Lytechinus pictus: one gene and its partners. The protein of the gene in region 2 binds, or shares a complex with, the protein of the main gene of each other region. Links are inferred from orthologs where the notes say so. Each region holds a gene or a part of one and is shown on either strand. Other genes may lie near its edges. The genes, in order: splicing factor C9orf78-like, transcription termination factor 2-like and nuclear inhibitor of protein phosphatase 1-like.

The links.
Region 1: transcription termination factor 2-like (region 2) and splicing factor C9orf78-like share a complex: the UniProt entries of both Homo sapiens proteins name them as parts of the spliceosome. The link is inferred for Lytechinus pictus from reciprocal best matches to the Homo sapiens genes TTF2 and C9orf78.
Region 3: transcription termination factor 2-like (region 2) and nuclear inhibitor of protein phosphatase 1-like share a complex: the UniProt entries of both Homo sapiens proteins name them as parts of the spliceosome. The link is inferred for Lytechinus pictus from reciprocal best matches to the Homo sapiens genes TTF2 and PPP1R8.

The regions. Positions count from the first base shown.
Region 1 is NC_087259.1:27,476,962-27,488,379, forward strand, and holds the start of splicing factor C9orf78-like, read left to right. Parts: upstream 1-6,379; 5' UTR 6,380-6,440; intron 6,441-6,949; 5' UTR 6,950-6,977; coding exon 6,978-7,004; intron 7,005-7,701; coding exon 7,702-7,772; intron 7,773-10,227; coding exon 10,228-10,314; intron 10,315-11,184; coding exon 11,185-11,268; intron 11,269-11,418. UniProt on the Homo sapiens protein: Plays a role in pre-mRNA splicing by promoting usage of the upstream 3'-splice site at alternative NAGNAG splice sites; these are sites featuring alternative acceptor motifs separated by only a few nucleotides. May also modulate exon inclusion events.
Region 2 is NC_087256.1:8,333,551-8,344,536, forward strand, and holds the start of transcription termination factor 2-like, read right to left. Parts: upstream 5,196-10,986; 5' UTR 5,088-5,195; intron 4,493-5,087; 5' UTR 4,414-4,492; coding exon 4,409-4,413; intron 4,097-4,408; coding exon 4,036-4,096; intron 3,388-4,035; coding exon 2,157-3,387; intron 1,277-2,156; coding exon 1,005-1,276; intron 1-1,004. UniProt on the Homo sapiens protein: DsDNA-dependent ATPase which acts as a transcription termination factor by coupling ATP hydrolysis with removal of RNA polymerase II from the DNA template. May contribute to mitotic transcription repression. May also be involved in pre-mRNA splicing.
Region 3 is NC_087261.1:1,176,162-1,186,757, forward strand, and holds the start of nuclear inhibitor of protein phosphatase 1-like, read right to left. Parts: upstream 5,258-10,596; 5' UTR 4,953-5,257; coding exon 4,927-4,952; intron 31-4,926; coding exon 1-30. UniProt on the Homo sapiens protein: Inhibitor subunit of the major nuclear protein phosphatase-1 (PP-1). It has RNA-binding activity but does not cleave RNA and may target PP-1 to RNA-associated substrates. May also be involved in pre-mRNA splicing.

The DNA of each region.
Region 1 (11,418 bases), on a different chromosome or scaffold from region 2:
ATGACTGATATTCCTTCGCACGCGAGATGATATGAACCCATGGGTGGATTTGGACTGATTCGAAGCTTAGATGTTAAAGTTTCTGGGGATTTCCTTAACAATTTCTGACATTTCACTATCATTCCCATTCATCGCCCAATTCGGGCACTCATTCAATGAACAAGGTTATGATATAACCTTTCTCAGTTACATCTCCATGTGTGGCAAAATAAGGGTGGCAATGTTTGGCTTATTTTCTCTTTTTCTTTGGGACAAATGCTTGATTTTTTTTACACTGACAGTTTCCATTACACCTATAGATCATACTACTTGGCTCTTCAGTAAATTTGAGTCTTTAAATTATTTTTTTCTTAATTTAAGATAGAGATTGAAATATGAAAATTTTCTTGCCATACATACTTTCCACCAATAGAGGGCGTACACAAAAATATGCCCAAATTCAAATTTTTGAGCGCTCTGGTGAATACAAAAATTATTCCCAAGTTACTAATTGAAAAATAAATTGCAACTGTAAGGAAATTAGTAATTTTGGTCACAAAAGTGATATTTTAATGATTTTTTAAAGTGTGTGCTCTGTACAGCATTGGCATACCATAGTCCTACCTGTAGATTCCCCACAGGCAGGATGATTGCAGTGGACAAGTGAATTCGGGTACTGTCTTCGGGTCTTAATAATGATAACTAAGTAAACGTTAGACTTTGATAGTCTAACACTTAGTAACAGTTAGATTCTAGACTTCAATATATTTAAAAAAATATAATTTACAGTCTAAGGATTTAGAAACACCTAAATAGTGTCTTGAATAACTAAAGAATCAAGACATGAAAAAAGAGATTAAAAGGTGTGGAAATGGTACGTTACCGATATTTACTTGTCTTGGTCTCAAGAATCACCCCCCAAAATAGCAGCCAAAATATGAAATAATTACCAACGAATGGAGAGGGCATCAATAATTTACGAATGCGATATCGATATTGCTTTTGATATTATATGATCTGCGCCATATGCAAACCGCCAACAAGCAAAACCGCTACGATCACAGGTAGCAGACGACATTCGATATATCGAGACATTAAGAAGTTAATAAGGATAATGACGTCATTCAAGATGGCAACTTGCAAGAAAAACCGTCAGCTGAAAATGTCTTAGACAAAAGATTTCTCAATTATCCAGAGGATTTTTTTCAATTACTTAAGTTATTTATATTTCCCTGACAATGGAAACCATGAAACTGTAAATTTCGCTTGAAAACAGTTTTAGATCGCGACCTATAAAACGTTAGTTCAGTATACCACTGTCTATATGTACGGGCCAACAACTCTTCAGTCTATGTATTGGTGAGTGGAGCCAACGTAGTTCAGCAGAACAACCAAAATACAGAGACTGAAGCTTTTGGTCTAGCCTCGGTCATGTCCACTCACACTTAGCCAGGAGGCTCCTAGAGAGAGTAAAAATCATTCAATAACGTGTGTATAGTAACCTAACTATATGGATTATGGCCTAGCTGGATTACCGAGAATTATTCTCTCCTTAATCCTGGGTCAGTCCGTCTTACAGAGAACAAGGTTGAAGACTCAGATATAACTGTCTACGTTAGACTCAGTGACTGGTAGCAGAACTTGGAGTAACTTGGTATCTTGGAATCGTCGTATGAACCTGGCTGTGTATGCATGATGAGCGGTTGCGAGAGAAGTGAACTGTAGAAGCGGTGAACGTGTGAATGGCGTCTCGTTGCGGGTCGATCCTGTACATATGGAGGGTATCTGGGGGCATGGTCGCACGCACGGTCACGCGTAGCTCGAGAGTAAAAGGTGTAATTGTCGCACTTCGCGCGGGCGACCAAGTTCCCCATATTCCCCCCAACCGTAAAAATAAAGGGGAGATTAATTATTGACTTCCTACTGCCCTAATCACCCATGTATATACAGATATATGTATGGGGAATGGAAAAAAAAGGTAACATTAAACCGTTACGTATAGCGCCATCCCTTTTAGAAATAACTTATTATAATGATATTAAGGAATAAAACACTTGTCCCAGATCCTTGAAAAGAACCAATTATTTCCCAGTATCTCGGAAATATAACGTAAACATATACTGAGGAATTTAGGTTTCTTTTCCTATCCTCATGGGCACTGAGCATGCTCTGAAAACTTTTAACATATACATATATATGTATATATGTCTTCATGTTACAAGCTACTAAGCATGTAGTTCATGCAGTGATCAGGATATGCCTATCTATTTTAAAGGACTATTTACACATACAAAAAAATATGGTTGGCCCCAAATCTCTATCAAACTTTGGAGGGTGATAAATGAATAATAGGCCTTGATTGGCCAGCAGACTTTAAAACTAAATTGAAGACCATATCGCCTGGATATTATTAAAGGAAATTTATAAATTCATCTGTGACGTCATTTGGCACGATGGATGAAATAACTAAAATATCACCTGGATATATAACTTAATGTGTGACACAACTTGGCACAATATTGTCTTTAAAAAAAACCATACCCATATCCTCTGGATATATTGAAAGAAATTTATAAATTCACCTGTGACATATTTTGGCACAATGGTTAAAATAACTGAAATATCGCCTGAATATATAACTTTACGTGCGACACAATTTGGCACAATATTTCAAAAACTAACTAAACCAATGTCCCTTGGATTTTATTGAATATAAGAGTCCGCAACCTTTACCAATCCCTGAAGACTAAGGAGGGTCTGAAAGATGACAGCCAACAGACACTTTCCACTTGGGGATGTAAAATCTGGTCTAGTTCGGCCCGGTAAGTTGGGAAAACTTCTCAGTCCGTCTCCACCACGATACAGAATATAAACGTTCTCCGGTGAGAGAAAATACTGCATTGCAGAAGAGAAGTACCTAAGACCCCTCAATTATATGGATAGGCTGTGACCTTATCTTTTAATTAACCTCCAAAGTAGGGAGGGCAAGATTTTGGACAGAAAAAAAATTATGAGACAGGGGCCACCAAAAAAAAAATAATAATACACCCTATTACCCTAACAGGCCATACAGTTGCTTAGCGTTGTAGGTGGTTTGGGCCATTATAGTGGCCAAGGGCTGTCCCCGCAGGTTGGCTACCACCGCCCCCACATCACCCAGGCTTTCAGGTGAAGTCACTGTCATGTCCGGGCGAGGAGGGAGATGCGGAGCATCGGTCTCCAGAATCAGCCGATTCGTGGGAACGACCCTAAGGCCTTGGATTTGATCCGTTGTGAAATAGCTGCCATCCCAGCAATACCAAAATAACAATATGGAAAGGCAGCCGTCCATTTTCTAGCTTGCAGCGAGTCGCTAGAGAAATTGTGGAGGTGTATCCTCTGGAGGGGGTAGCAGTGCTTTTCAAGAAGCCGGCGGGCCAAAGTATGCGCCGTGTATGCCATATTATTCTTAGAATCGCCCCTTACATGTAAGTGCAGGATGAGTACTCTCCCTTGGGTGCCCTGACCAAGGAGTCTCAAAAAGAACGCCTCCTGGTCAGGCCACCACTGGGAGCTGACAGAAAATTCAAAACCTAATTCACTTACACCTACCTACACCTACCATCGGATTATAAAGAGACGGACCGTATTATAAAAAGACAAAGTCAAAAGTTAACTTCAAGTCCTAAAATAAAATTAACAAAACAATTGTCCAAAATACGAGCGTCTACCAATCTACGTGACAAGAATCAATGAGTATTTTCACTAAATCAAAAGACAAGTTAGGCCAATATAATATAATTGGGCAAGTCCCCAGACTTATGTTCAAGCTTCAAAAAATATTTTAAGTATTCACCAACTGACTAAGTAATTACTTAATATATATACCATCCACTAAAATTTATAGATTAATGCCACTCTAAATATAAGCATTGGTGGCTCGAAACGGCATATAAAATATATTGATCACTCCTTATTTTTATCTTTTTTTTTTTTTTAAATGATATCTTAATACCGAAATAAAATCAAGTTGACTATTAAATAAAGTCCAAAAGAGAAACCCGACGAATTAAACACGTATGAGGGTAACTCCGTTTTAGCCAGCTAGCACTAAGATAATTCCATTAAAAAGCCACAGTATAATTCATATTTCACGCAACCTATAAAACGGCGATAATAAAATCCTTTCTATCCGCAAAGCGGCAATCTAAATGGCGCCAAATAAATCCGTAAAACGGCAACCTTACTGGCGCCAAAAATGATTACTGCCGGACGGAAAAATCAGTATAATAAATTGTCAAAATTCGCTTTCACTCGTGACATATAGAATCATAATTCAACTACTCAACATACAAAGATTCTACGTCGTCTACTACAGCTAAAGGGGGGAAAGTCAGGTTAAGCAATACGATCCTTCACCAATCACGCAATCATTAAATCACCATCAGCCAAATTCAACAATACATATATATCTCAGTTACGTACAATTCCTAAATTTAATTATCCTACGTCAAAAATTTAAATCCTAATTTAATTAAATCCTAACAGGGAAAGGGGGTAAATACAAATTCATCACCCGAACCACACCCCAAGCAACTCTCAGGCAAGGCATACACTCAGCCCTAACAAACAAAAGAATGCGGGGAGCGGCGAACAATAGAAAACGTTTACAGCTATTTGCATAAATGGCGTGCCCTACGTGGCGTTCATCCTGCCACACCCAAAATTTAAACTGGATTAAGGGGATAGTGTAAGGGTTTAAAACCTACGCAAAACGCTGAAAATAAGCCCTAAAACACTGGTATTATTTGTTTAAGATAACTGTAATAAAGATATATATCGCTAGGACGGCGGATTGAATCCAAATACACTGTATAAACAATTTGTATAGAATGCGAATTACTTTACCGCCCTACGCTACACTTTTTTCCCTACTTTTAAGTACTTAAAATGATGTTTAGCCAATTAACTTTTCTACGCCGCTTGCTTTACTGCATTTAAAAAACATTTAAAAAACTAGCGCAGAGTCGTGTTTAGACGCAGCGCCAATATATAGTAGCCTAACTATATGGATTATGGCCTAGCTGGATTACCGAGAATTATACTCACCTTAATCCTGGGTCAGTCCGTCTTACAGAGAACAAGGTTGAAGACTCAGATATAACTGTCTACGTTAGACTCAGTGACTGGTAGCTGAACTTGGAGTAACTTGGTATCTTGGAATCGTCGTATGAACCAGTCCTGGCTGTGTATGCGTGATGAGCGGTTGCGAGAGAAGTGAACTGTAGAAGCGGTGAACGTGTGAATGGCGTCTCGTTGCGGGTTGATCCTGTACGTATGGAGGGTTTCTGGGGGGCATGGTTGCACGCACGGTCGCGCGTAGCTCGAGAGTAAAAGGTGTAATTGTCGCACTTCGCGCGGGCGACCAAGTTCCCCATAGTGTGCTTACCCTCCACGGAGCCAGGGATTGCGTCCTATTCTTGTGCGTGTACCGCGAAAAAAACTGAAATTTTGGCCCCTGAGATTTCTACTTTGGAAATGTTTTATTAGCAGTGACAAATATTATTTTCTTAAGATAAAAAATAGAAGAAAAAACCTTCGTGCCTTGAACAAAACCAGCTTTACAAGGTCTGTTGGTTTGTAAACAAACAGAGTCAATTAAAGACTCTACAATAGGAAGTCCGTACAGTTCACCAACTTTGCTTTCCTTTCCATCGATTTGCATGTAAACTAGTTTGAGTGCCTAGTCTTTTCCTTGTAGATCTAGTGTCTTTAATATGAATATAAATCTCTCGCCCTCTATTGGCGGAAATGTCTTTCACCCATGAATCATACATGTACATTTCTTGATCGTCTTTTTGTAAATGTTATAGTGTGAGCATTCCAGGGCTCTCTCTAATACAAGAAAACCCGAGCAGTGTAAAACTACCTCTCAGACATAAAAGATAAGTCGTAGCATATATCTTTATGCCGATAAACATCTGCATATATGATTGTGGTACTCATCACATTGTTTGGATTCTGGTAATCCAGGGAGCTTCAAGTTCCTTGTGAGCGGTCAAGAAGCAGCTAGGGTAACTCTCTTGTCTTGAGTTAAGTTGGCATATATATTCAGACTTGCTGTACTCCGCCAACTTTGTTGAAAATGTGGGGATCATCGAACAATCGGGTTATTTACTTACTAGGCTTTTGGATGAGCTTTGTTTTGAAGGAGTCCAGAGACTTTAATTAATTTGAGATAGGGGTAACTGATGGTGAAACTTTCATAAATTGAAACAACAAGAACAAAAAAAAAATGTTTCCAACTATATTGATTGTTTACTCTATCATTTTGTCTTGAAGTACCCACCCATCAATCTGTTACTCAAGTAAAGTGCCATGATAATAACCAGCTTGAAATAATATTCTTTGCACTATCGCAGGTCTATCTTGGAAGAAACAAAAGAAGCTCAGAAGTTCAGAGAGAGACCCCATGGTGTTAGGTTTGTATTGAAATTATATTACAACTATAAATAAAAAATAACTACATTTATTTCTTATTTATGAAAAACACTGATCTTAATGAATTCTCTTTGTAACATTGTCCAACAAATTTCTTCCATGATTAATGATGTTGTTCAATAAGCCTGGGACAAATACCCTTTTGCCAATAGATTGTTGGCCGGGTAAATAATCAAATAGTTTGAACAATTGAGATTCCTGGATAATTGGAAATCAGCCAAAAGTTGGCCTTTTTGACTGACCTACAGTACCAGTGGTCACGCATAATTAAATGTTAAAAGTAGTATTCAGTTGCCGATTGGTGATCAAATACATTTGATTGTGTAAGTTTTACTCCCTGGCCTATTGTACACTTAATTTGTTTCCCCTTCAAGATGATGAACTGGTCCATACATAAGTATAATGTTGAAAATATTCATGTTGAATATATCCATTGTAATAAATTTTTGTAATCTAATGGTGAAATTGTCGTCTTTGATTGTACCTCCAGTGCAACAGCCCTTCTCACAGGCAAGAAAATGACAAAAGTCGAAGAAATGAATGATGTAAGTATTAGTTGAATCTTTGTGATACCATTTAAAGTTTTTCCCGTAGGCATAGCCGTCATGTGTGGCATGCTGACTTCACCGGGGTATGCCTCTATTATACACCGGTATGCTCTCAATGGTGTTGACATAGTTAGGTTTCATTGAACATAATCTATACCTTCAATTGCCCCAATTTTATCCCCTAACTTTCATTGTGCACCATTTTAGCACCTGTCAAATGCTATATCCATGCATTAAATCACTTCCCTTTACTCGTCTAAAAAATTGAATTCTTTAAAGAAATATGTTTTGATGCGCAGCAAAATGCATGCTTTGTTTATTTTTCATTAAAGGTAATGCTCTATTTCTCTTACTATTGCTGGTTTAGATGCTGATGTAGCCAATCTGTGCACATACCCTTTGGCCTCAGTAGCTCTCTCAATAATCTTGGAATTTATGTGGTTTCTTTTTTTTCATTTGTTATTGGTTAGCTTTCAAATGAGCAATGTTACATATAAAGAGCTGCATTGCATTATTCCATATATGTATCTTACATGTATGCGCCATGAAAAATCTGCAGAGTAGATTTGGCGCTTTTAAGTCACATCATCATCATCATTGTTATCAGTGTTTTTGTAATTTTTTATTTTTAATACTATCATTTCATTTATCTGATGTAATCTTTTTTTAAATTTTTTGTTTGTTTTAACTGCAGGATGACCCGTTCAATCTGAAGGCAGGTGGGATGTTGAACATGAAGGATATCAAGGACAGAAACAGAGACAGGTTTGTATATATAGGCATCCATCACTTCATGGTAAAATACCACTTGGTCTTTGAACCCATTCCACATGGTCTAATCTTAGTTTGTCAGCAACCAGGTTATCTGCGTGCCATTTGGTCTATTTGCAATTTAGCTCGTGTACCATTTTGTTCAATTTCCAGTCAGACTCCCGGGGGGGGGGGGGGCACTCAGTATATAAAGCATGGTGGGTATGTGCCGCGGAGGGGACCCCCATTTCTACACTCAAATTTCTGTTTCAAGGCATAGCATTTTTGTCTTATTGAGAAAAAGAACAAAGTTAGACGCTCCGAAGCATTTTCTTATCGAGAAAAAAGAAGAAAGAAATCCGCTCCAAAGCTTTGCATATTTTCCATTACGCCGTTCCAGCCGCATTGATCTGCTACAATGAGCCGCAATTTTGGTGAAAAGCGGCCGCAGAGCGCTTTCCGACTTTCGCCTCTGCGCTGGTGCACCCGGCGCCCGTGCCGCCTGGCTAGCTGCATACACGTATGCATACGCACTCCCACGCAGGCGACCCGTTCCAAGGACCCCCATTTTCACAAACATTGGTAGTTCTGAAGCCCGTTCCAAGGACCCTCCTTTTTACAATAAGCCCGCTCCCAAGCCCCCGTTTTTTGTCTCGCCCGCGGCACATACCTACTACTTTTTTGGTCGAGTACCCCCCCCCCCTCCCCCGGGGTCAGACTGTCCCCCATTTTGTATAAATCATATCCACTTTGTTTATCACTATATCTCGACATTAGCAGTGGCCCAGGGCAGCCAAAAATGAGAGTCCGGCCACAAAAAAATTCTGTAAAAGCCCACACTTGGTGGCTTGGTTTAGGCTACCAAAGTTTTAATAATAATATTTTTAGGGCCACCAAATTTGCGTTGCGGGCCACCAATGATATGAAATTGATGATTTTGGTGGACCCATTGGGCCACCAAGAAAAAAGTTAGTGTGGAGCCTTGACTATATGAACAAATGAACTTTTTGTGATTTATTGTTAATCAAATGTTTCATTTATTAAAGTGCAACTAATAAGTAGACAAAGTGAAAGATCACCCGGGCATTAGACTTAATGATAAAACAATTGATGTTTGGGCCAAATGATAGTTGGACTATGTATGAGTAGACCAACTGGGTATGGTTCCACTTGCCATTTTTTTTTTTTCTGTGATTGTACTTAAAACTTTTTTTTGTCAGCTTTAAAGGCCAAGTCCACCTCAGAAAAATGTTGATTTGAATCAATAGAGAAAAATCAGACAAGCACAATGCTGAAAATTTCATCAAAATCGGATGTAAAATAAGAAAGTTATGACATTTCAAAGTTTCGCTTATTTTTAACAAAATAGTTATATGAACGAGCCAGTTACATCCAAATGAGAGAGTCGATGATGTCACTCACTCACTATTTCTTTTGTTTTTTATTGTTTGTATTATACAATATTTCAATTTTTACGAATTTGATGATTAGGACCTCCTTGCCTGAAGCACAAAATGTTAAAATAATGGAATTCCACGTCTTCAGGGAGGAATGAAACTTCATTTCACATGACAATGACGAGAAAATCTAAATATTTCATATTTCATATAATAAAATACAAAAGAAATAGTGAGTGAGTGATGTCATCAGTTCCCTCATTTGCATACCGACCGAGATGTGCATATAACTGTTTTGTGAAATGAAGCGAAACTTTAAAATGTCATAACTTTCTTATTTTACATCCGATTTTGATGAAATTTTCAGTGTTGTGCTTGTTTAATTTTTCTCTTTTTATTCAAATCAAGTTTTTGTTGGGGTGGACTTGTCCTTTAAAATACTGGAATGACTTGCCAACTTATAAGAGACTGTCTCCATCAATAGAAATGTTCAGAAAGGTATTAGAAACCCATCTCTTTTGTTATTTGTAATTTTATCATTATATAATTCTTTTTAATTATTTCATTGCAAGTGTTTTGGGCCTTGATATGGGAAAAATGCAGTATAAGTAATAAGTAATGATAGAGTAATCTGTGGTGTCACATTACCCTATCTAGTCAAATAGAGAAATATAATTCTACATAGCATATACATGTAGGGGTTAAAAAAGGCACATGCTCCACAATATTTTTTCGATATCTCCAGAAAACAACAGGGGTTTGAAGTAAATTCTCAAGATATCGATGAAAAATTCCCTTTCCATTGGAAACTTGGTGCATTGTGAATTTTGGGGGTGCCATGCACTGTGTAATGACGATTTGGGGCAGTTTTGTAGTGGTAAAAACTCTTAATGTGTATGAAGTTTTGATTTTTTTTATTATTGTGAGGTATGCTCTGTTTCAAAGTACTAGACACATCAGACAGCATCAAAGTCCATGGTATTCCAATATGATTTGGATATACTGTGTAGCCTTAGCATGTACAGTTTCAGCTATTCCATGAATCTGAAATGTGTTATAAAACCCTCTTCCAGGTCTGATGAAGCTTATGATCGTGATGTTGCTAACATGGGAAGCACTTTTGCTGTTGAGACAAACCAGAGAGATGAAGACGCTGAAATGTAAGAACATGATATGGAGAAATAAAAAAAATTAAAACTTGATTTCATTCAATTCCATGTTACTCCTTTTCTCTGCAATCTATTCCACTCCATTACATTCTATTCAAATGAATTTTATTCCACTCTTTTCATTTTATTCTTTTCAATATTAGTCTACTTTGTACTATTCTTTCCTCCTCTTCATTCTTCTCCATTCCATTTTAATGCATTACAGTTAATGTTAAATGTATATTTTGATTGGCAAACTATTACAAGAACTGGCGGATTCTGAATTGACCAATTGTAGGCTTGTAGCTTCATTCCAATCCATTCTGTCATTCCATTTCAAATACTACATTCCATTTCATTTGATGCTGATTTACGTCATTCTGTTTTGAAGTTTACTGAAACAAGTGCCATGAGCGTCTCTGGAGGTGTTTGCGCTAAATAATACATCACCATTATTATCATTATTAAGTCATTTCGGATTATGACTTCATGGGCATCTGGATTCATTCTTTGCAACCATGCCTTCTGACTATTCAAGCATAAATGCATACCACATAAAATTGATATCGTAGTTTTGGAAGAAAGTAGTAACATTTTCAGGAAATACATATATAAGTTTTGTGCGCATTACATTGTGTTTTCATTAAATTTGTGATTTTCTAAGGTGTAAATTTTTTCAGACCTACCCGGCATATTCATGAAACTAATGATGTTGTCGATGTTGATTACAGTGACAGTGTTGATGATTACTCTGATCAATGTTTTAATTCATTGTCATCTTTTCTACCAGTCACAATTCATCAGATACCTTTGTACTGGATGTAAACATGTATATTGGTCTACACATTATTGTACATGTACTTTTTGTCCTTAATCTTACAGGATGAAATATATTGAGATAGAAATGAACAAGAAGAAAGGGTTAGACCTTGATAAAGAATCAGATCCGACAACAGAAGGACCTAAGTAAGTACAAGAGAGCTCTTGTCTTTTGTTTTGTGTGTGGGGGGAGGGGGGCATGAACATTAAAATCTTACCCAAGGTTATTATTTTGTCTCCATACTCATGTTTCATTGATCACCTTTGCATGATTTGAAGGTCATATTTGGGTCAATG
Region 2 (10,986 bases):
ATATTCGAAATATGCAAAAATTAACATAGGTCCATGTGCTTGATTTTTTGCTATAGAGCTTCAAAGTTCACCTAAATGAATGTTCTTTAGAATTGCGCATTCAAAAGAATTTGGCATTTTTAGACCGCCCAAGTTTACTACAATGAGTTTAAACCTGTATTACTCAGTCAAAATACATGAAAAAGTCATCAAATTTCGCGAGAGAGTTAGTAATTGTATCGTTAGAATAGAGAATATATTTAAAGTGCTATTTGTTTGCAATTTTAAGTTTAACAGCACTGTCAGTTCTTTAAAATGGCGTAAAAGATAACAAAATCCCAATCTAAAAAATGTAAAATTTCAGCCACAAACTACAAACGTACAACAAATGCTGCACTTTATTTAAAATCCATGTCATTTTCACCAAAATTTGCAGAGTTGTAGAGGAGGGTATACCTAAGAGGTACAAACATTAAAAAATAGGGGTTCATGTGCTTGTTTTTAAACTATCAGCATTTTTATTAGAGCAAATGTGCTTTTTAAAACACCAAAAATGCGCCGAATCCCTTGTATCTATGTGAAGAAAAAATCAAAACCACTCTACCATTTATTCAAACTCGGGGTAATATTCGTGATTCTTGGCAGCACTGCAGAGTAAAGTATTTTGAAATTGTAGAGAATTTTTTTTTTAATGGTCCATGGAATAATTCAATTTTTTAGCTTCATGAAATAAGGTATCGGATCTGCAGTTAAAGTGCAGAAGATGAGAAAAATCAGCTCATACCCGCAGCTAATTAATCACCTGTTCACCCATTGTGACGTCAGCGCGCAGAGTGTAAACTATGCGCAGATCATAATGCGCACAAACATAACTGTGGAACGTCCTTAAATAACACTTATCGTGTTCTTTATGTTAGTCTATCCCTTTAATTCATCACCAAATAATGGTTAATGAAAAGGGATTAGAGTTAATGATCCATAACATGAAAAGAAATAAAGAACAAGATATCTAAAACATTAATGACCTTCTGTCGCTGCAACTGTCTCTCATAGGCTTGCCTCTGAGCAAGCAAAGCTTTTGGATATGCTGCTGCAGATGATATCCCAGACTGGTTTGAGTCACTTCTCACTGAGGATACCTGAGGCACAACATGCACTGTTTGGTTGTGAGGAGCTGGAAGAGGGGCACCAGTCTTTTCTTGTTGATGCTTTGGAAGAGTGGAGGATGGAGCACTTGTAGAAGTATTTGGTTTTGTCTCGTTGTTCTTTTCATTAGGTTGTGCTCCTTTGTCACCATCTGTGGGGAACAGACAAGTTGAAGTGAAAGCATACCTCCTTGTTATGAACAACAATATTGGTATTGATACATTTTAACTTGATTAACCATGAATTTGTAATCAGCTTTTCATCTACTACTTGTCCAGCAATCTCTACTGGAATTATAGAAAATGAATTTGTTGTAATGTATAAATAGCAAATTCTAAACTAGTGAAAGCATGAATTTGTAATCAGCTTTTCATCTACTACTTGTCCAGCAATCTCTACTGGAATTATAGAAAATGAAACTAGTGAAACCATGAATTTGTAATCAGCTTTTCATCTACTACTTGTCCAGCAATCTCTACTGGAATTATAGAAAATGAATTTGTTGTAATGTATAAATAGCAAATTCTAAACTAGTGAAAGCATACCTCCTTGTTATGAACAACAATATTGGTATTGATACATTTTAACTTGATTAACCATGAATTTGTAATCAGCTTTTCATCTAAATTCATAAACACAAAACAAAACAAAGTATAAAAAAAACATAACAGGTTGGGCATTCATGAAAAATAACATGTTAAGATGGGTATCCTTTGTTCAGACACTTGACGGGATGAGAAAAAAAAACATCACTTTTTGCTCGCTCTGCATTTTCACAAAAATCATCAAATAGCACACAAAAATTGAAGGTGTGTTACTGTGTTGCAATGTCTAAAATAACTTTCAATTAATTCATAAAATATTGCTTGCAATATGCTTGATATATCACTGGCTTGTCCTGGAAAAGCACTTGTCCAGCAATCTCTACTGGAATTATAGAAAATGAATTTGTTGTAATGTATAAATAGCAAATTCTAAACTATACAATCATTTAGATGGTTTAATGATAACAAAAGTAATGTGCAACTTACTGCCTGGAGCATCAATCTTCATTTTGCGCATAAGTCTCTCTCTCAATCCAAGACTAGGATCCACTGGAGAACGGCGATCGTCCTCTTTACTCTGAGCTTTCGTGGCACCAGCAGCTGATTTATTCTCAGTGCAATCTTTGGATATCACCTTAGGTGTGTCTTCCAGGATGATACAGTCATCATCATCAGTGTCATCCTTGCTTACTTCTTCTTCATCACTGCTGATATTGTCATTGAGGGCGCTGCTGTTCCTCCATGACATATTCATACTGTCATTTTGCCGCACCTTGTCAAATCTTGAGGCCAACTTGTCCTTTGTTACTGCTTGTTGGCTACCCTGTTTGCTGTCTTTGCTTGCAGCTTGATGATACTGCTTTTGTGGTTGCGTCTTCTCTGCAGCAACTGCTTCCAGATCGGATTTTACAGTAACAATCTTCGGTCTCGCATCATTGGAAGTGGCTGATTGAGATCTCATCTTGTGGTTGCCATCCTTGTGTGATTGACTAGGACCTTGTGCTTGCTCCTTGTTTGCAGACTGCCGAAGTTGATCTTTCTCCTTGGCAGCCACCTCTGAGGACCTCTCTCCTCGCGCTTGCAAATTCTCATGATACCTCCTATCATCCCCCTGAGACAATTTCTCTACAGGATTAATTTCAGAACCAGGTCGTCTGTCTTGACTATCCCCTTCACTCCTACTTCTGTGAGATGCACTCTTCAAAGAACTTTGATCTGATGCACCACTGCCTCCATGACCAAGTTTCTGCTCCATCTGATCTTGTTTCGTATCTCCTCCATAAGTCTTCCCTCTTGAGAAAACATCTCTATCTGAGTCTGAGCTAGTCCTCCTCGGTTCATTACCACCTCTTTCCAAATCTGATCTCTTGGCTCCGTCCCCACTCCTGTTTCTTCCCGTTTCTCTATCAATCCCATCTTTAGATGGTGGCTGCCTCCTGGAGTCATACTCTCTACTCCCAATCTTTGCAGCATGCATCTGTTTGGTGATATCATCCATGTCTCTCTGTTTACTGGAATGCTTAATATTCTTTGACTCAGCACCGTTGTTCTGGCCTGTCCGAGTTTCATCTCTCCCTGATGATGGCTGTCTGGTAGACTTCACTAATGAGTCTGGTTTCTCCACAACACCGCTCTCACTAGAATGCTTGAGGCTGTCAGAAGATAGAGAGGACATCCCATTCACATCACCAAGTGGCCTGCGGTTGGCTTGACGGACCTGGGTGAAAACATCACATTTAAAGATAATTCCATTTGTGGTCACCACCACGTAAGAAATACTAACAGGTTCCAATGAAATGACTACTCGTGTTTGAATGTGTCAAATGGTTCCGGTAGAAAGTGAATGACTACTCATTAATAAGCAAAATAAGCAAGGCATTTTCTTGATGGATTGGTCTTATATATACTCCAATGCTTGCCTATTTGTGTTAACAATTTCAATCACTTCTTTTGGATTGCTTAGTTTCTACTAGTTTTCAGTTCGGCTTGCTTAATTATGCCATAATCTATTATGGTGATCAGATAAAAAATCACCTTTTCAATTATTGCCAACAGTCTTGTACTTTGTCATATATTCATTGCCAAATATATAATAACAACAAAAAAGTGGAATAATGCTATAATTAACAACCACACAAACAAGAAGAAAAAAAAAGAAAATAAAACTTGGGGACCTAAAAACCTGCATTATTATTTCCCTGTCTATTTCCCAATTCAGTATAAACAAAACAAACGGGGATCACAAAAAACACTTTGAAATCCTGCGAAGTAATTAGAAGACAGTGGGCATTGTTTTTTTTTACTAAAGCTATTTCTTAGACAGTTCCAATACTCTGTCAACCAAATCTTATCTAATTATGCTTACCACCACATAGCCACACCATCCTTTGCCCTCATGCATGGATTTTGTACATCGATAGTACTGCCTAATGAGACAAACAATGTAGAAAAGCATCTTAAAAACAAAATCAGGCAAGTTCAACAAATATACATTTGGCTTGAAATCAGATTCACTAGAAAGTGTCTTCACAAAATATAAAATATGTTGCAATATCACTGTGTCATCCTCTTTATGGATTACATAATATTTTCATTGAAATCTCTCTCTCTTTCTCTCTCTCTCTGATTGTCTCTCTATTCTATCAAACCCCACTTTGAGTATCAAAAGGCGGACTTCCTCTTTAACCTAAGAGCTAAATAAAATAAGAGATGACTTTAAAAAAAAAATAAGAGCTTACCTCATCTCTCCATTGGCTTTGGATCCATATCCTTGCAGTTCGACTAGTACGTCAGTATGTTTGAGGCAAAATGATGGTGGCAGACTGGAGTTTGAAAATAAATAGTGTTTTCATTGCAATAGAATAATTCAAGTTAGGTTCATCAGTTTCACAAGCAGTTTATCACCTCTTGAAGACCAGGGGAGGCATTATAAGGAGGGGAGGGGGACTGAATTTAAAATTACATAAAAAATAAGTGGAAGAAATAAGGACATAGAAAGGAGAGATCAGAGTTGTGGATCTACATGTATACTAGAACCCTTATTATATTATTTAGAAATTAAATGACACCACTAGGTCTATGAATAATGCAGTCCCTGTTTAAGACTGCTATTAGAAGGCTTTAGAGGGATGGATGAAAAAATGAATACCTATAAATATTTTGATGCACTTAAAAAATGTTAATGGTAAAGATAAGATTAAAAAAATACATTCAATCATTTTCAATTACCTGTACATACTCATTCATGAAAGAGATATATCCTATACAGTTGTATATCATGTTATTTGGAATTTCAATAATGTACGTATGTATTAATGTGTTTTTATACTATATGCCCAATTATATGATATTTCAAATGTACTTTGGCAATATTTTACTTCAAATTGTACATGTAATAGGGCATATATATATACCTACCTTGTTTCCTGCACAAAATTGCACTTCTGTTCAGATGAGGATCCACAGATGTAAAAACTCTTCCCCTTTCTTGATCCTTCACTGACACCGGTTTTAAGGAAGCATAATTCTCCTAAAATTAAAGATATAGCTTAAAAATTCATATCATGGCTTTACATTGTTGCAGCCTACGAGCATGATCATTAAAACACCAAAACATGAGCAGTTCCACTGGAAAATAGACTTAGTCCCATAATTTACTCTCTTAACATTAATATTGCTCATAATCTTGTAAATGCAACCCATTAATCCATGATATATGACTGACTGCAGTCTTCAAGGTTCTAACAGGTTGACTTGGAATTCTGCAGTAAACATTTTTCAGAGGAGCAATTTTTTTTACTCAATGAGTTGTATGAGATTGGAACAATCTACCTCAAGAAATTGTAGAGGCAAAGTCATTGCAAAGTTTTAAAAACTTGCTTGACAAATTTTGGTGGAATGAGAGATTTAAATACCGCTTATTACAGATGCACATTCAAGTTAAAATTAACCATTAGCAATCAGTCATGACGTTAAGACCGGATATCTACAGACTACAAGAGAAATCTTATTTATCCATATCCTGATGTCATGACTGATGTGATACATGTGATAATTCTTAGTACCAGCATGACCAGTATGCTCTGCCATGAAAAATGAGAATCAATCATTGAATCAGTAATAGTGTCAGTATTCAGTCTGTCCAAAGCAAAAAAGGAAATTGATGATGGTGGAGATGGTGCATTACATGCTGCCGACTACAGGAAATTTGAAGGCACGGCTCATGCAAAATTGCAACACTTCCATGGCCCTTGCATGAAGATCAGACAAACTTTAATAAAATCAAGTCCTTCTACGAAACTTACCGAACGATGTGAAATCAATTCCCCCTAATATCATGAATATCCCTCAAATAGTGTCATTTAAGCGCTGATTTCTCTTCTTGTTGATAAAATATGGATCTGTCTTATTTCCGAAATTTTTCGTCTAATTAGCTAAAGAGGGCGTGCGATTTATCTTCATATCAAAGACACTACATAGAAAAGACTAGGCACAAAAACTATTTTACACGTAAATTGATGAAAAGCGTTACGCGAAGTCGGCAAAGTGTCCAATCATTTTAATGTAAAGACTTTGGTGGAATGTTCGTTGACAAATGAATGGTAGCACTGCTGGCTTCGTTCAAGGCACATAGAATTTTCTTCTTTTTTTTTAATTTGTCATCGCTTTGAATGTTATCCAAAAAGTATTATCGTCAGCAAAAATAATCTAAAAAGTACATTTTTTAAGTTATTGCATTGATTGGTGTCTATATTTTATCAAACAATCATGGGAATTTTCACATACAATGAATCTAGACTTTTTCTAGATATAAAATACTGACAAGCTGAATTAAGGTTGTGAATTGTATTACCGCCACCAACAACCTTCCTTTTTATTTCCGTGGAAGAGACATGCGAAGCCACTTTCCCGGCCGAGGTAAGTGATTTTGCTCTTTTTTATGTGCTTTTTATTTAAAAAAATAATATAAAATTGAAAATGGAATGCTCCTCACCAGAAAAAGCGCTGGTGAGTAGCGGAATGAGTTTCGGCTAACATCATCCCATTATGAAGCGATGTTAATCGACTACTAAAATATCCACTGCGTAGAAACGTTTGTAGTGCGAGGTTGGTATAGTATACTAACCTCGCAGCAATATGTGTGAGTAGTCCCGGGGGGGGGGGGGACCACTTCCATTGACGAGTGGATACCATGGGCAACCATGGGGTCCCGAAAAGCACCCTAAACAAGTATTTTCCATATTCTGAAAATGCACCCCTTAACAAGTATTGTTGTGTGAAACCCTACTCTTAACAAGTATTGGAAACAAAACGATACCCTTGGCAAGAATTCCCTGAATTGAACCCCTAAACAAGTACAGTGATATTTTAATGTCATGGATGTTAGTTTTACCTGTACCTACATAATTGGGCTTATTACGGCCCCACCTCCCACACCTCGGACTCTAAACACGTAGTGTTGACTGTTGGGGCAAAAAGTACATCCTTTATGTAATATTTTTGTCTTTTTACCCTTACAAATTTGACCCTAAACACGTAGCTTTCCTAGCGAAAAACATACCCTTTTTTCATTATTTTAGTGTTTTTGACACCCTTCTTACGTTACGTACGTAACGTGCCCTATCTTGAAAAAGAACTAGACAGGAATAACTGTTGTTTCTGGGGATTTATTTAACAATTTCTGACATTTTACTATCATCCCCATTCACCGACGGTAGTGTGTTAGTGCGAGCCTGCATGTGTAATCAGGTCCACCAATTCGGGTGACCGGGTTTTGTCTAGATTTTTTTTTTTTTTTTAAATGACATCATATTTTCTTGAACGAAGGCCCACTTTTTTCGTTAGACTCTGAAATATACCTTACCAATGATTTATTCCTTATATTTTTAATTTTTCTGCCGGAAAGGAAAAAACGGCACCGTGTGTTGCTGCCCTCTACGTTCAACGAGTTGTGCTTTTATCAAGGCTTTCCGATATAAAATTTTAGATATCCTGGCCAATCAATGCGAGCGACAAGTTCCGAACACACACACATCTACAAGCGCGAAGCAGCGGCACAAATCGCGATATATAGACTAGCGACTGGTAAACATGTCTCGCTGTAAGGATGATGACATCATCCAAGATGGCAACTTACGTTGACCAACGAAAAGATCGAAGATGACTATGTTTTGATCATCGTTTGAAAGGAATTAGCGGTAACTGCGGTCTAAGGTACAATATTTCTGAATTTTATATATTTTTTAACGTAAATTTGATGTAATTTCTTTTTTATAATGTGACATTTTATGTACAAAAAACCGATCCGAAAATCAGATTTCCGCCGAATGTTAGATCTAACGTTACTGCTAATACTTTGACGTTGTCTGTACTTACGGGCCAACAACTCTTCAGTCTATGTATTGGTGAGTGGAGCCAACGGCAACGCAGTTCAGCGGAACAACCAAAATACAGACTGACTGAAGCTTTGTTTTGTTTGGACTTTTGGTCTAGAAAAAGACATCCTTTATTTCTAGTGTTTTTTGGTCGTGCCATGGTATCCACTCGTCAATGTAAGTGCCCCCCCCCCCCCCCCGGAGTGGTCACTGGGTGGAGATTGATCCCCCTCCTTCCCCCCGGAATATCGTCTTATGAACCGCGGGTCTCCAAACCTCATGTGGTTTTGTTGTGATTGCCATTCAAAGGTCAGTGTGTCCGCCAAAAGAGATCATGTAAGTGAAATGGATCCCTCTGTTGAAGCAATGCAAAGTATTATTGGAGAATTGGTGAAGAAGATCGATGCTCTTACTTCTCATGTCATGATGTTGGAGAAATCTTCTACAAAGGTTGAAAACATTGAGGCACTTGTGGAGGAGAAGGTTAAGAAGTACATGGAAGAGAGTAAGGATCAGGCAGAGAGGGAATGTAATGTAATACTTCATAATGTCCCTGAGTTGGATTCTGATGAGGTTAAGGATCGTGTTGCACATGATTTTGACCAAACCAAAATGATCCTCAACCAGCTCAACGTCCCAGATGCAGTTGTGGTACAGAAGCCAATCCGTCTTGGCAAGAAAGTGGCCGGTAAATCTCGACTTCTGAGAATGTCGTTTGCTGATAAGAGTGCCAAGAAGAATGTGCTATCTCAGGCTTCCAAGCTGCGTGGAAATCCGAATGGAGTTATTAGCAATGTGTATGTTACTCCTGACCTAACCTACCAGCAGCGCGTTGAGAATAGAAAACTCCGCGAAGAGCTCAAGCAGAGAAAAGAGGCTGGAGAGCAAAACCTAAAGATAAGCCATGGGAAGATCGTGCAGGCTACCCCTGCCTTTCGACCGAATGGAGTCAGGGAATCCGGACCAAGCGTCCAGCAGTAGTGGCCCAGTACAGAGGCCTCCAACTGTAAATAATGTACATAGTCTTAATGTAAATAGTCCTAGGTTAGATAGAACAAATTTACTACGTAAACAAGTGAATAGTAAGAAAAGTTCAAATACATCACCAGTTTCTAATTTTAGTTCTAGCTTAAAATGTGTTTACACCAATGCAGATTCATTGCGCAACAAAATGTGTGAACTAAAAGCTCTCGTGAAGAAAGAGAAACCACATATCATAGCGATCACTGAGGCAAAACCAAAACATTTCAGAGATTTGAGCAATGAAGACTTTATATTGGAAGGTTTTACATTTTATCACACAAACATTGACAAGGCTGTTGGTAGAGGTATCGTATTGTATGTTCATAAGTCATTGAATGTAAATCAAGTGAGTTTTGAGAGTATTCATTTTGAGGAAGCAGTTTGGCTCGAACTGTGTTTGAAGCATTCTGATAAGCTGTTAATCGGTTGTATTTACAGGAGTGATAGTGCTGCTAGTAGAAATAATGAGAATCTCCGTCAATTGATCTCACATGTTTCAGATTTGAATTATAGCCATTTACTTGTACTGGGTGATTTTAATTACCCAGAGATTGATTGGGACTCTTGGACAACTTCAAAGAGTGAAGCAAGTGAAGAATTTAAATTTATTGAATGTGTAAGGGATGCCTTCCTGTTTCAACATGTCTCTGATCCTACAAGGTTTAGATTCAATTCTAGACCTAATGTCCTCGATTTGATCTTTACTAGTGAAGAAGGCATGCTAGCCAATCTTGAACATTGTAGTCCTTTAGGACTCAGTGATCATTCTGTCTTGGTTTTTGACCTACTTTGTTATGCAGATTGTAGTTCAAATGAGAAAAAACGGTTTGTGTATGATAAAGGTAACTTTGGAGGTATGAGAGAGAAACTAAGCTCCATAAATTGGGAAGAAGAACTATCGGCATTGAATGATGTAAATCAGCAGTGGTCTCATGTTTTGAGTATAATTGATGAAGCTGAGGATGAATTTATTCCTTCTGTAGTAACATGTGGTAAACATGCATGGGGCAAAGGAAGTGATTTCCCAGTTGATTATGACACCTTGAAATTGATTAAGAAAAAGCACAGAGCCTGGGAAAGATATATTAGAGACAAAACTGTAGAAAAGAAGAAAACTTATAACACAATCAGAAATAAAGTGAAAACTGCGACAAGACATTGTCAAAAACGATATGAGTCAAACATTGCCAAAGAAGTAAAATCTAATCCTAAAAAATTCTGGCAGTATGCAAAATACAAGACAAAAGTAAAGAGTGGAATACCACCACTCTACCAGGATGGAACTGGAAGTAGTAAAACATTGACAGAATCAGATGTAGGGAAGTCAAATGCACTATTGAAGCATTTTTCTAGTGTCATTACTAAAGATCCTGATGGACCTCTCCCATCTGTTAAACATCATGATGTTCATATTCTAGACACAATTGTTATTACTGAAGAGTGTGTATTAAAGAAATTAGAGAGTTTGAATATATCAAAATCACCAGGGCCAGATGGGTTGCATCCCCGTGTCTTGCGTGAACTGGCACCTGTTCTTGCAAAACCTCTGAGTATTATTTACTCGAACTCTCTTACATCAGGCGTAGTACCAAATGTGTGGAAAAAGGCCAATGTCAGTGCCGTATTAAAAAAGGGTGATCGTAAACTCCCTTCAAACTACAGACCAATAAGTCTTACATGTATTGTATGTAAAATCATGGAGTCTATCCTGAGGGATGAAATATATGAGCATGTGAGGAGCACCAACCTTCTCAGTTCAAAACAATTTGGATTTGTATCAGGACGATCAACAATGTTACAATTACTCAATGTGTTAGATGATTGGACGAATATGTTGGAGGTTGGTGGTGCAGTTGATGTCATCTACCTAGATTTCATGAAAGCCTTTGATAAGGTCCCACACCAGAGACTTTTAGCCA
Region 3 (10,596 bases), on a different chromosome or scaffold from region 2:
AGATGGAGACCAGCGGGAGCTTTACCAGCCCTACAAACACAACATACGAAATAGGAATTATTTGATCTGATGCAAACATCGTTAAACTTAAACAAATGTGTGATTTTCACAGACTAATTACAAAATATTCACATTCATGAACATATAAATCTACAATAGAATACTATATATACATAGCTAAATTTAAAATGCTTTTATCAGTTTTGCAACATGCAATACCTTCAAATAGTCATTGTTGTTGATTATCATTGCTGATGATGGCATTACCTGGAAATATATTTTATCACATTAAAAACCAGTGGTAGATCTACAAGCTTCATTTCATTGTAAACAAATAGTATCCACAGAATAAATGAAAGATTCTACAGCAGCTGGCAATGGGTCCCCTTCACATAAAGGAACAGAAAAATAGACATAGACCCTCTACATGTATTAATAAATTTCTCACTGCAGTTTCAAAGCCATAATCCTTAAACCAAGCCAGAACATAGTTGGGAAAATTTAATTTTTATCTACACATGTATAGGCAGTATGATCTTTGTTTTCTTCAGGTTAGCAAACATGCACATACTTCTGACAGTCCTTTCTCATGTTAAGTCTATTTTCTGTTCATTGTCATGGATAGTGTAGGACACTGGCGTATCCGGGGGAGGGGGGGGGGGGGGGGGCACAGCCGGCCCGTGCCCCCCCTTTTTGAGAGGCACAATTAAAATTTGTAAAGTAAAAATACCGTTGAAACAGAAATGTGCCCCCCCCCCTTTTGTAAGTGAAGACTTTTTTTTTTGCTTGTCAAATTTTTCCTTGGGAAAATGTACCCCCCCTTTCGAAAAATATGTAGGATGGGTGTCCAGACACTTTAAAATTTTGAAGCCTTATTTTTGGGTTTGGATTTATACACAAAAAATATGAATTCAATAGTAGGGTGTGGGATTAATAAAAGTCTCATAACCTGTTAGTAAATGTACCATACATGTACATATGCATGTTTTGCAAACTGTCAGGTTTTTGTGGTATTGATGATGGCAAATCTGAATGAAATGTTCATATTTTACATTTACAATGTACCTCCTATCTAGGATCAAGTGTCAGTATGATTTCAATAAACCCTTCCCGGTCCCCCACTGCTCAACAAAGCCCAATCCAAAACTGCAAACAAAATATCTGCCCTCTACGTGTGGTTGTGTTTCAGCTGAGTGTACAAAAATAATTTTTCCACACAAGAAATACAATAATGTTAGGAAAGTTCATTCATCTGTCCCTGCATGTCTGAGTGCCCATATCGATCGATCGAGTCAATGCAAACATATCAGGTTTCATAATAAGGTCAGATTATTGGAAGACAGCAAGTCGTGAAAAATAGATGGTGAACTGGGAGGAATTGAGGTCAATGAATCTATTTTTAGCACTCTCAATTCCCATAAATTGGTGTCTATCATTGTCTAGTCTAGTATCCCACAGTGGTAGATTATAAGTGAAAAAAAATAGGCATAACGTTAAACAAGGACAATCCCAATTTAGATCAATCAAGACATGATTTGTCTTGGTTTATGAAGATATCGGCCAAATCATAGTTTTGGGAACCACTCGTTGATTTGTACGTATGCGCACTTATAGGGAACCATGTGTGTCACTGAATAGAGCACTGTGGTATGAAATAAACGGCAGTTCCCAATTTCACGATAATGTCATGAAATATAAAGTACCTGAATTTCAATAAGCACTACTGCGCCTCGTTGATTTTCAATAGATGATGCGAGACATTCAGCTCGCTCTCTCACACATGGGACAATATCTGGGTTGACATGATATTGCACAATAACTCTCACATCATCACACTCCCCCCAATCATAATGGATCATCCTAGATGATATATCACACACATTCACACACATTAATTTTCAACATATCATTTATCCATCTTCCTTTTTTACTCAAGCACGTGTTGTGTTGCCAAAACCCATTGACGGAGCCAAAAAGGAGGATAAAACCTAGAATCTTAAGTTTATCATTCTTTTTGGCTCCGTCTATGTGTTTTGGCAACGCGATAACACGCGCTGGAGTAAAAAAGGAAGATAAGCTTGTTAAAATTGTAGTGGATGGATGGATAGCTAACCGTCTAAAAGTGGCAGCGGTTTTGAAATGAAGGGAAAAGAGGGGTTGTTGGAATATAGATTAATTACCATGTGTAATTTCGTTGGAAAAGAGGAGTAAGAACAAAGTTAATTGAATAGTGGATAGCCTAAGTACTGTCTAAAATTAAGGGAAAAGAGAAGTTGATGGAATATACAGCTAGGTTAATTACCGAGCCTAATTTCATTGGAAAAGTCGAGTAAAAAAGAACAATAAACATATAGATTCTAGACAGTTTGAATTGATTTAGATCTAGCTCTAGTGTATGTCTAGACCAAAAGCTTCTTTCTCTGTTAAATTAATTGTTCCGCTGAACTCCGTCGGCTCCACTCACCAATTACAGAGACCGAAGTTCTAACTCGATCTGTACAGGGACTCAATGGCTATATGTTTATGTATTAAGTTCCGATAAACCAGGGAAGTGGGAGTTGTGCGACAGCTGAAGAAAGTCACTGTTTTTGTCCTTTCAAGTTTATTTTTAAGCCTGAGTCGAATCGATTTTAAAATCGGTGTTCGATCCATGTCATCGAGCGCCGGTGCAGATTTTGCCAAATCTGTGCATCGAAAAAAAAAAGATTTGTTTGGTTCACACAATCAATCATCAAAATATCAGTAATGTCCAACTTGACTACTACTTACTTGATTTATATTCCCCCGAAAATGAAACCGATTGTGCAATTATGATGCATATTCACCATTAATTTGAAGTTTATTTCAATGATTTCGATCATTGTTCGAGTCTTACTCGTCTGCTCGTGCCGAGATGATTTATGCACGATGAATTCATGAATGAAAGTCATCGCTTATCAATCATGCATGCGCAGTACTGTGCTTTAATCAAACCAGAAAATTAACACGATCAACGTAAAATAAATCTTGCTTTCATGAACAATGTCTAGTCTATGTCATATAGTTTGGGCTCACAAACTAAACTTTAAAGACAGTAAAGTCTTATGAAAACAAGTACCGGTATTTTGCAGCAACTTGTTGCCAAAGAAAAATACTTGGTGTGCAAAGAGCAATGGCATCCGTCCGTGGCTCCGTGGAGAGTAAGCATACAATATTGATACATTAGTAAATGATTTTCACTGTCGAACGTTAGCCTAAGCCAAGGGCAGGCTTAGGACGGAGCCTCCTGCGCCGCCAAGCCCGGCATTGGAGACCTTTCGTTTTCTGTGAGGAGCCATGTGGACGTACGAGATTAAGGAATTTTAGGAGCGCTGCGCATGCGCGAAGTAATCTGTGACGAGCCTTCTCGTTCACTGCTCAAATCTGTGACTCGTATTTGAGGGTTTTGACGTTCGGTATCATACTCATAGTGCTCGAACGAGCGCTAGTTCGTACATGATGACGTCATCCAAGCTTAGCAAAAATGAATGAAGCCGCATCAACATTCGAGTTTCGTTGATTCAGCAGGGCTGGTAAACTGCAAATTACTGCTTGTTACCAGCTTTTCCATTAGTGTGTCCTGTTTTCAGACACTACATATCCGATAGTAACCCAGAGAGCTCCCGCCCGCGCAGCGGGCGGGAGCCCAGAAGCTTACCGTGTATTTGACCATATTTACCGGACTAGGGTGATTTATGGTCTAAATATTTCTCCAAATGAATTGTGAAAACAGAAAGTATACAATTACCACGATATATGGATGAAGGTCTAACGAGTGGCAGTTTCCTGACATCTGGGCACAGATTGGAACCTCAAAAAAACGAAAAGTTCTCTCCTTCTACCCCCGTTCCGATCGGCCATTTTTGTTAAAAATCGTAACAAAATGGCCGATCGAGACTGGGGTAGAGGAGAGAACTTTTCGTTTTTTTGAGGTCCCAGTCTGTGCCCAGATGTCAGGAAACTGCCACTCGTTAGACCTTCATCCATATAATTGTGGTAATTGTATACTTTCTGTTTTCACAATTCATTTGGAGAAATATTTAGACCATAAATCACCCTAGTCCAGTGAATATGGTCAAATACACGGTAAGCTTCTGGGCTCCCGCCCGCGCAGCGGGCGGGAGCTCTCTGGGTTAATCCGATAGGTAATTGTTGTTCTATTCCCAAACAACTGTGTTTTTTTCGGCTTTTTGCGCAAGAGTGCAAATGTTGCACCCACACGCCCACTGGCACTGGTTCGTAGCGTGATGCTACGCCTGATTCTCCAGCCGAGCATCGGCCCACGGCCCGCTCGCTATCACGCTGGTATATGCTGTGGCCTGGTACGGGTACGTCGACTTAAATCGAAACTGTTTTCATCAATGTACGAACGTGATACTGAACGAGCGGTGTCACCACTTCCGGTGAACTAGGACTACGTTGCAGTCGCAGACAATCGAAAGCTCCTTATTATCTAAATATCCTGCCTGGTTTAAGTCACCACTACATTCACTGGACAGCGACATCGCGATCGTTCATTTCGTCAGTGACTTCTTCATCTATCTCCCATTGACTTTGTACTCATAACACAACGAGCTCAAACACACTGACACACACGAGAAGAGAGATGACTTATTTCAGGATAAGGCCCCACGCCCAATCCCCGGCCCACGCCACCATGCCAATGTTGGAGTCTCCCCTTGTCCGCTGCGAGCTCCCGAGCCGGGGCCGGGCTGCGCCCCGCCCGAAGCGAAGGCAGCCTGAGCGAGCGAGAAACAGGGTTGAAAATCAGCTGCTCCCATACTGTTTTTCATTTAGATCTTAAAAAAAAATCTACGGATCAATTTTCACACGGACCATATCACTGAGAAAATGATAAATAGATCTGTTTTTTACCAAAAACTGAGTAAATAAATAAACAAATCTTACCATGACGGTACCTCGAAATTCGCCATGTTGACGAGCTAAGGATTGCTGCCATCTACGGTCAAGATACGTTTAGGAAGTTTAGGGCGTTGTGGCGTGCGCCTGTAATCCAAGCTGTGGGGAAGTTACAAATTGATGCAGAGGTTCGAGCCCTGGGGAGCGTTTCATCAAGATTTTTGTCCGGCAAGTTGTCAGATCTGACATCTTTCCTTGATTTTGATTGGCTGTGAGGCACTGTTACTATGGTAACTGTCGGATAAAACAGGACTTGTCGGATAAAACGTCCGACAAGTCCTTTCATGAAACGCTCCCCAGGTCACGTCTTTCGGATGGTGACGTTAAAGGTCGGTCCCAGACGTAAATAATCATATCTGATTGATACACGTCTGACAAAACTCAAATACACACACACACACACACACACATTTAGGTTCAGGGCGCGGCACACACCACATGTAGGATCGGGAGAATTAAAGGGGGCTTTATTCAGAATTTTTGGTGGGGAAGGTTTGACAGGCTTATCCGGGGTAAAATTGTGTGCTGATTCCAAAATAGTCAGTCTTATTGACCGTACTCACGACATTTGAGCAATTTTGGCCAATTTTTGAACAAAAATGACAATTTTGACCACTCTTTGGAAAATGGTCCCTTATAACAAAATGCTTTTGTAACCACATCCAATTAAGGTCCATCCTAAGTAAAAATGCACCCAGATTCCAAATAAAGTGGTTTCATTTGCCAATTTGCCAAATCACAATAGAAGTGGTCATTCTTGCCATGTTTTGACCAAAATGACAATTTTCATGATTTTTTGTCCGACATGTGTTACAAATATTGATCAGAACAAAGATTGGATGTCCCGTTTAGAAATCCACATTTATTTTTAAAATGTGCGCTGGATGATAACAATCAACCTCATATAATCTATTCTGAGGAGCATATTTGAGTAGTTCTAGAGCTATAATCATTTATCTTATCGTGTGTGCATGATGTGGTATGCGTGGTATGTAGGTTTCAAATATGATAAGTCAAGGTGACCGTGATACATTGGCGGATCAAGCCGGGCCGGGCCCGATGCCCTCCCCCCCTTGAAAATGAAAAAAAAGGGAAAGAAAGAGAAAAAAAGAAGGGGAAAGAACGGAGGAAAAAAGAAGAAGAAAATAGGAGGGAGACGAGTGAATAAAATAAGGTCAGGGGAATAGCCTGTTCGATGAGATACCCCGGGGGGGGGGGGCACTTACATTGACGAGTGGATACCATGCGCGACCAAAAAAACACGTAAAAAGGATGTCTTTTTCACGATAGGGCACGTTACGTACGTAACGTGATAAGGGTGTCAAAAACACAAAAATAATGAAAAAAGGGTATCTATTTCGCTAGGACAATTACGTGTTTAGGGTCGAATTTGCGGGGATGATAAAACAAAATTAAAATGTTTTATAAAGGATGTCCTTTTTGCCCCAACACTTCGTGTTTAGAGTCCAATTTGCGTGAGGTGTAGAAGGTGGGGTCGTACTTAACCAAATAAGGTAAAGCCGACGACCGAAGGACCCGTAACAATAAAACATTCCTGTACTTGTTTAGGGGTTCATTTCAGGGAATATTTGCAAAGAGTATCGTTTTGTTTCCAATACTTGTTAAGGGGTAGGGTTTCACACGCCAATACTTGTTAAGGGGTGCATTTTCAGAATATGGAAATTACGTGTTTAGGGTGCTTTTCGAGACCCCATGGTCGCGCATGGTATCCACTCGTGAATGGAAGTGGCCCCCCCGGGTGAGATACATAGCTTGCTCAATATGCTGATATGTAGCTTGAAATAAGTATTGAAGTCAATATACATAACATATTTCATCTCGGAAATCGAACTTTCATTATTTTGTTGGATTTACAAATTCATTTTTAAAAAGTGCTCTGTAAAAATGTCAGTTTTATGGTCTGAATATTAAAATTTTGTGCTCGCGCTGAGCGCTCGCAAATTTTGATTTATCAGGTATCTTTTATTTTCGTGTATTCCATAAAATTTTCAAAATATCCCTTATCAGGTCTGATTGTAAAAACGTATCAGCTATCGCTGCACACTCGCATTTTGATTGGTGAGTTATATAATGTCTCAATATTAATTATACAACAAACTATACTTTAAATCCCCTTTTCATGACAGTGTATAAAAAAATTAAGCTCGCAATTTGCGCTCGCTTTAATGGTTTAAATACATTAACTGATGCGTCCTATTTATAATTAAAAAAGTGCTTGAAATGTCAAGTTTTCAGGCCATAATATCATCAGATTTCGCGCCCTCAATATTGAATAGGCATAGATATTAATTTAAGAATTAAATTGCCCTTATGTTTCATCTTGCGCTTAGCAAGAGGAATAGGAAGACAGTCATTCACATGTCCTAAGGATGTCCCGGTCCTATGTCAAAACTCTTTTTTTCAAATCGGAATATCAAATAGTTTAAGCTCGCGCTCGCTTTACGCTCACTTTGATTTTCATGATAAAAGATTATTTAGAATGCCTAGATTCTAGCTAGGTCGAAACACGCGCGCATATGTTTATACAGATACTCAACTTGTTTTCTTAATTTAAATCATTATCCAGTTTCAGACCACAATATCAAAAATTTTCTGCTCGTGCTTTGTGCTCGCATTATTAATGTACGAAGATCTCATATAAATATTGAAAGTAGAACGTTTGATTAAATCATGGAATGCATGTCACCTAACTTTAACAGGAAAAATACTTGTAATTAAAACATTTCTCATCTCTCAAATGTTGTATAACGCTCAAATGATTATAATGCCAGAGAAAGTTGTAAAGCTTTTAACCTCCCTATTGTTTTCTTTTCTTTGGAATGGAAAGATAGATAAAGTAAAGAGAAAGGTTGTTTGTATGCAATATGATCTAGATGGACTCAAAATGGTTGATTTGAATATGTTACTCCAAAGCTTTTTATTGAAATGGATTTTGTATCATTATAATAACAAAGAATCGAAATTTAGTACAACCATTGATAGTTATCTTTCTCAATTTGGAGGATTAGATTTTGTATTACATAGTAACTGTACAGAAAAAGAAATTAAAGTATATGTAGATAAAATATAGATAAAATAAAAATGCCATATTATCATAAGGCAATAATTTACGCCTGGTTGAATTTTAAGCAAACCGTTCAAAATAAATCAGGTTTTCAAAATGTCCAGATCGAGAAGGAAAGTTTGTGGTTTAATTCGAATATAAAAGATCGCAATGGAAATGTATTGTTTTTTAAAAGATGGTTCGATATTGGAATTCTAAAGGTAAAGGACATTATTTCAGATTCCAAACTCAAATCATTAAAGGAAATAGAAGTTTTATTTGAAAAAAAAGTATGCAAGTCTTTTTCAGGAGTATAACATTGTAATGAATGCCATACCGAAAGTTTGGAAAATGAACCGGTTTGAGTTATTTTTTGAGATTCTTCAACCTAAAAATGAAAACATTCTACAGAATATTTTGACGAATGTAATTAGGAAAAGAGGTTCAAAGTTATTTTACACCATTATTTCAAATAACATAAGTATTAAGCCTAAAGCTGAAGAAAGATGGGAAAATATTTTACAAGAAGAAATTGATTGGAAATCTGTATGGTTATTTAATTTACAAACTGTCAAAGAAAATAGAATAGCAGAGTTTAATTATAAGTTATTACATAATCTTTTACCTCATAAATATAATATGTATAAATGGAAGTTAAGGGATAATCCTTTATGTTCACATGACAATGAAATACAAGACAGCGTACATTTATTTGTAACGTGTAAGAAAAAAGACAAAATTTAGTACCATTGTGTATAAAGTTGTAGGCATTAATTTTGATTTTAATGTTGCTACTTTGATAAAAGGATATGAGTTAAAAAATAAAGAGTATAGAATTTTGAATCTTCTTATTATGTATGCAAGGTATGCTATTTATTCAATTTTTATTCGAACAGTAAGTCGGAGTTGTCGATTTCATGAGTTTGGTATACTGTGTTTATTCAAAAGGTTGATTTGTAATCGTATAGAAATAGAGAAGCGTTGTAAAAGGAAAAATTTGTGTATTTTTGAAAACAGTATTGTTGAAGAAAATATTTCATGCTTTGTATGACATTGTTTACATTTTATGTAACTATTTCATGTGATTATGTTACCAATAAAATTATTTTCAAAAGAAAAAAAAAATCCCATATTACTCATTCTTTTCATGATTTACAAAACGTGAATTGAGAGTCCCGTTTTAAGGTCTAAATCTCGATTTTTTTTACGCTCGCGCTTCGCGCTCGCATCAAATAATTAATTGTTTAGTTATATATGTAAACAAATTTTCGGCATCACTCCTATGTGTTTAAGATCGCATGCTCGATCTTCAATGAACATCATAAGTCAGAAAAAATTGGAACCAGTGGGATTCGAACCTGCATCTACTGCTTTCCGGGCAGCGACTTAACCACCAGGCTATTCTTGTTCACGGCTATCACGATGAACTAGAATTCAAATACCCTCAATCCTCTTCTGTTATGATTTTCATTAAAGATCGAGCATGCGATCTTAAACACATAGGAGTAATGCCGAAAATTTATTTATAAATTATGATTTCCTGCTATTAAAGCCTCTTTATTTACTGCTTAGTTATATAGCTATCTTGTTCACGATTACAAAAATTGATTAAATTTTTCCATTCTTTACGTAGAAATGTCAAAAATTTTCAGCTCGCGCTTCACGCTTGCATTATTTGATTGTTGAAATATGTAAAGTCTTCATGGCTAAGTCCAAGCAGTCATTTCATGAATGTTCAATTGTTCTATGAAAACTTGAAAATAAAAGGTAGTATGAGGGACGCTTTAAATATTATTTGATGTATATGTGCGTAACTAAATGGGAGGTTTGGAGGCGCAAGCTCTGAAGTAAAAAAATAAGGAAAAAGAAAAAAAATGAGAGAGAAAGAGAGAGAGAGAGAAAGGGAGAGAGGGAAATTTAAAAGAGAAAAGGAATTCTAACACCGATGCCGGAGAGGAGGGGTAATTGTCCTCGGGGGTAGTTGTCCGGGGGGTAATTGTCCGGGGGGGGGGGGTAATTGTCCGGGGGTAGTTGTCCGGGGGGTAATTGACCGGGGATAATTGTCCGGGGGGTAGTTGTCCGGGGGGGGGGGTAATTGTCCGGGGGGGTAATTGTCCGGTGGGGGTAATTGTCCGGGGGGTAGTTGTCCGGGGGTAATTGTCCAGGGGGTAGTTGTCTGGGGGGTAATTGTCCGGAGGGTAGTTGTCTGGGGGGTAATTGTCTGGGGGTAATTGCCCGGGGGGTAGTTGTCCGGGGGGTAGTTGTCCGGGGGTAGTTGTCCGGGGGGTAATTGTCCTCGGGGGATAGTTGTCCTCAGGGGGTAGTTGTCCGGGGGGTAATTGTCCTGATACGGGTTATCAGAATGGTTCCTGGTTCAACCACAAGTCTTCCAGGATCGACGACTCGTCTATTTATCAGCAAAATTAGGGGCGTATATGCAACCAAACTGTTCACGTCCTTGACGAGAATATTCATTACAACAGGCTCCTATTGGTTGAAAATAAACTGCCTCTCATGTCACAATGGATTAGGGGGTGTGTTCTAAATTACGTCACTACAAAAAAATATCATAATTATTTATTAAAAATTTCGCT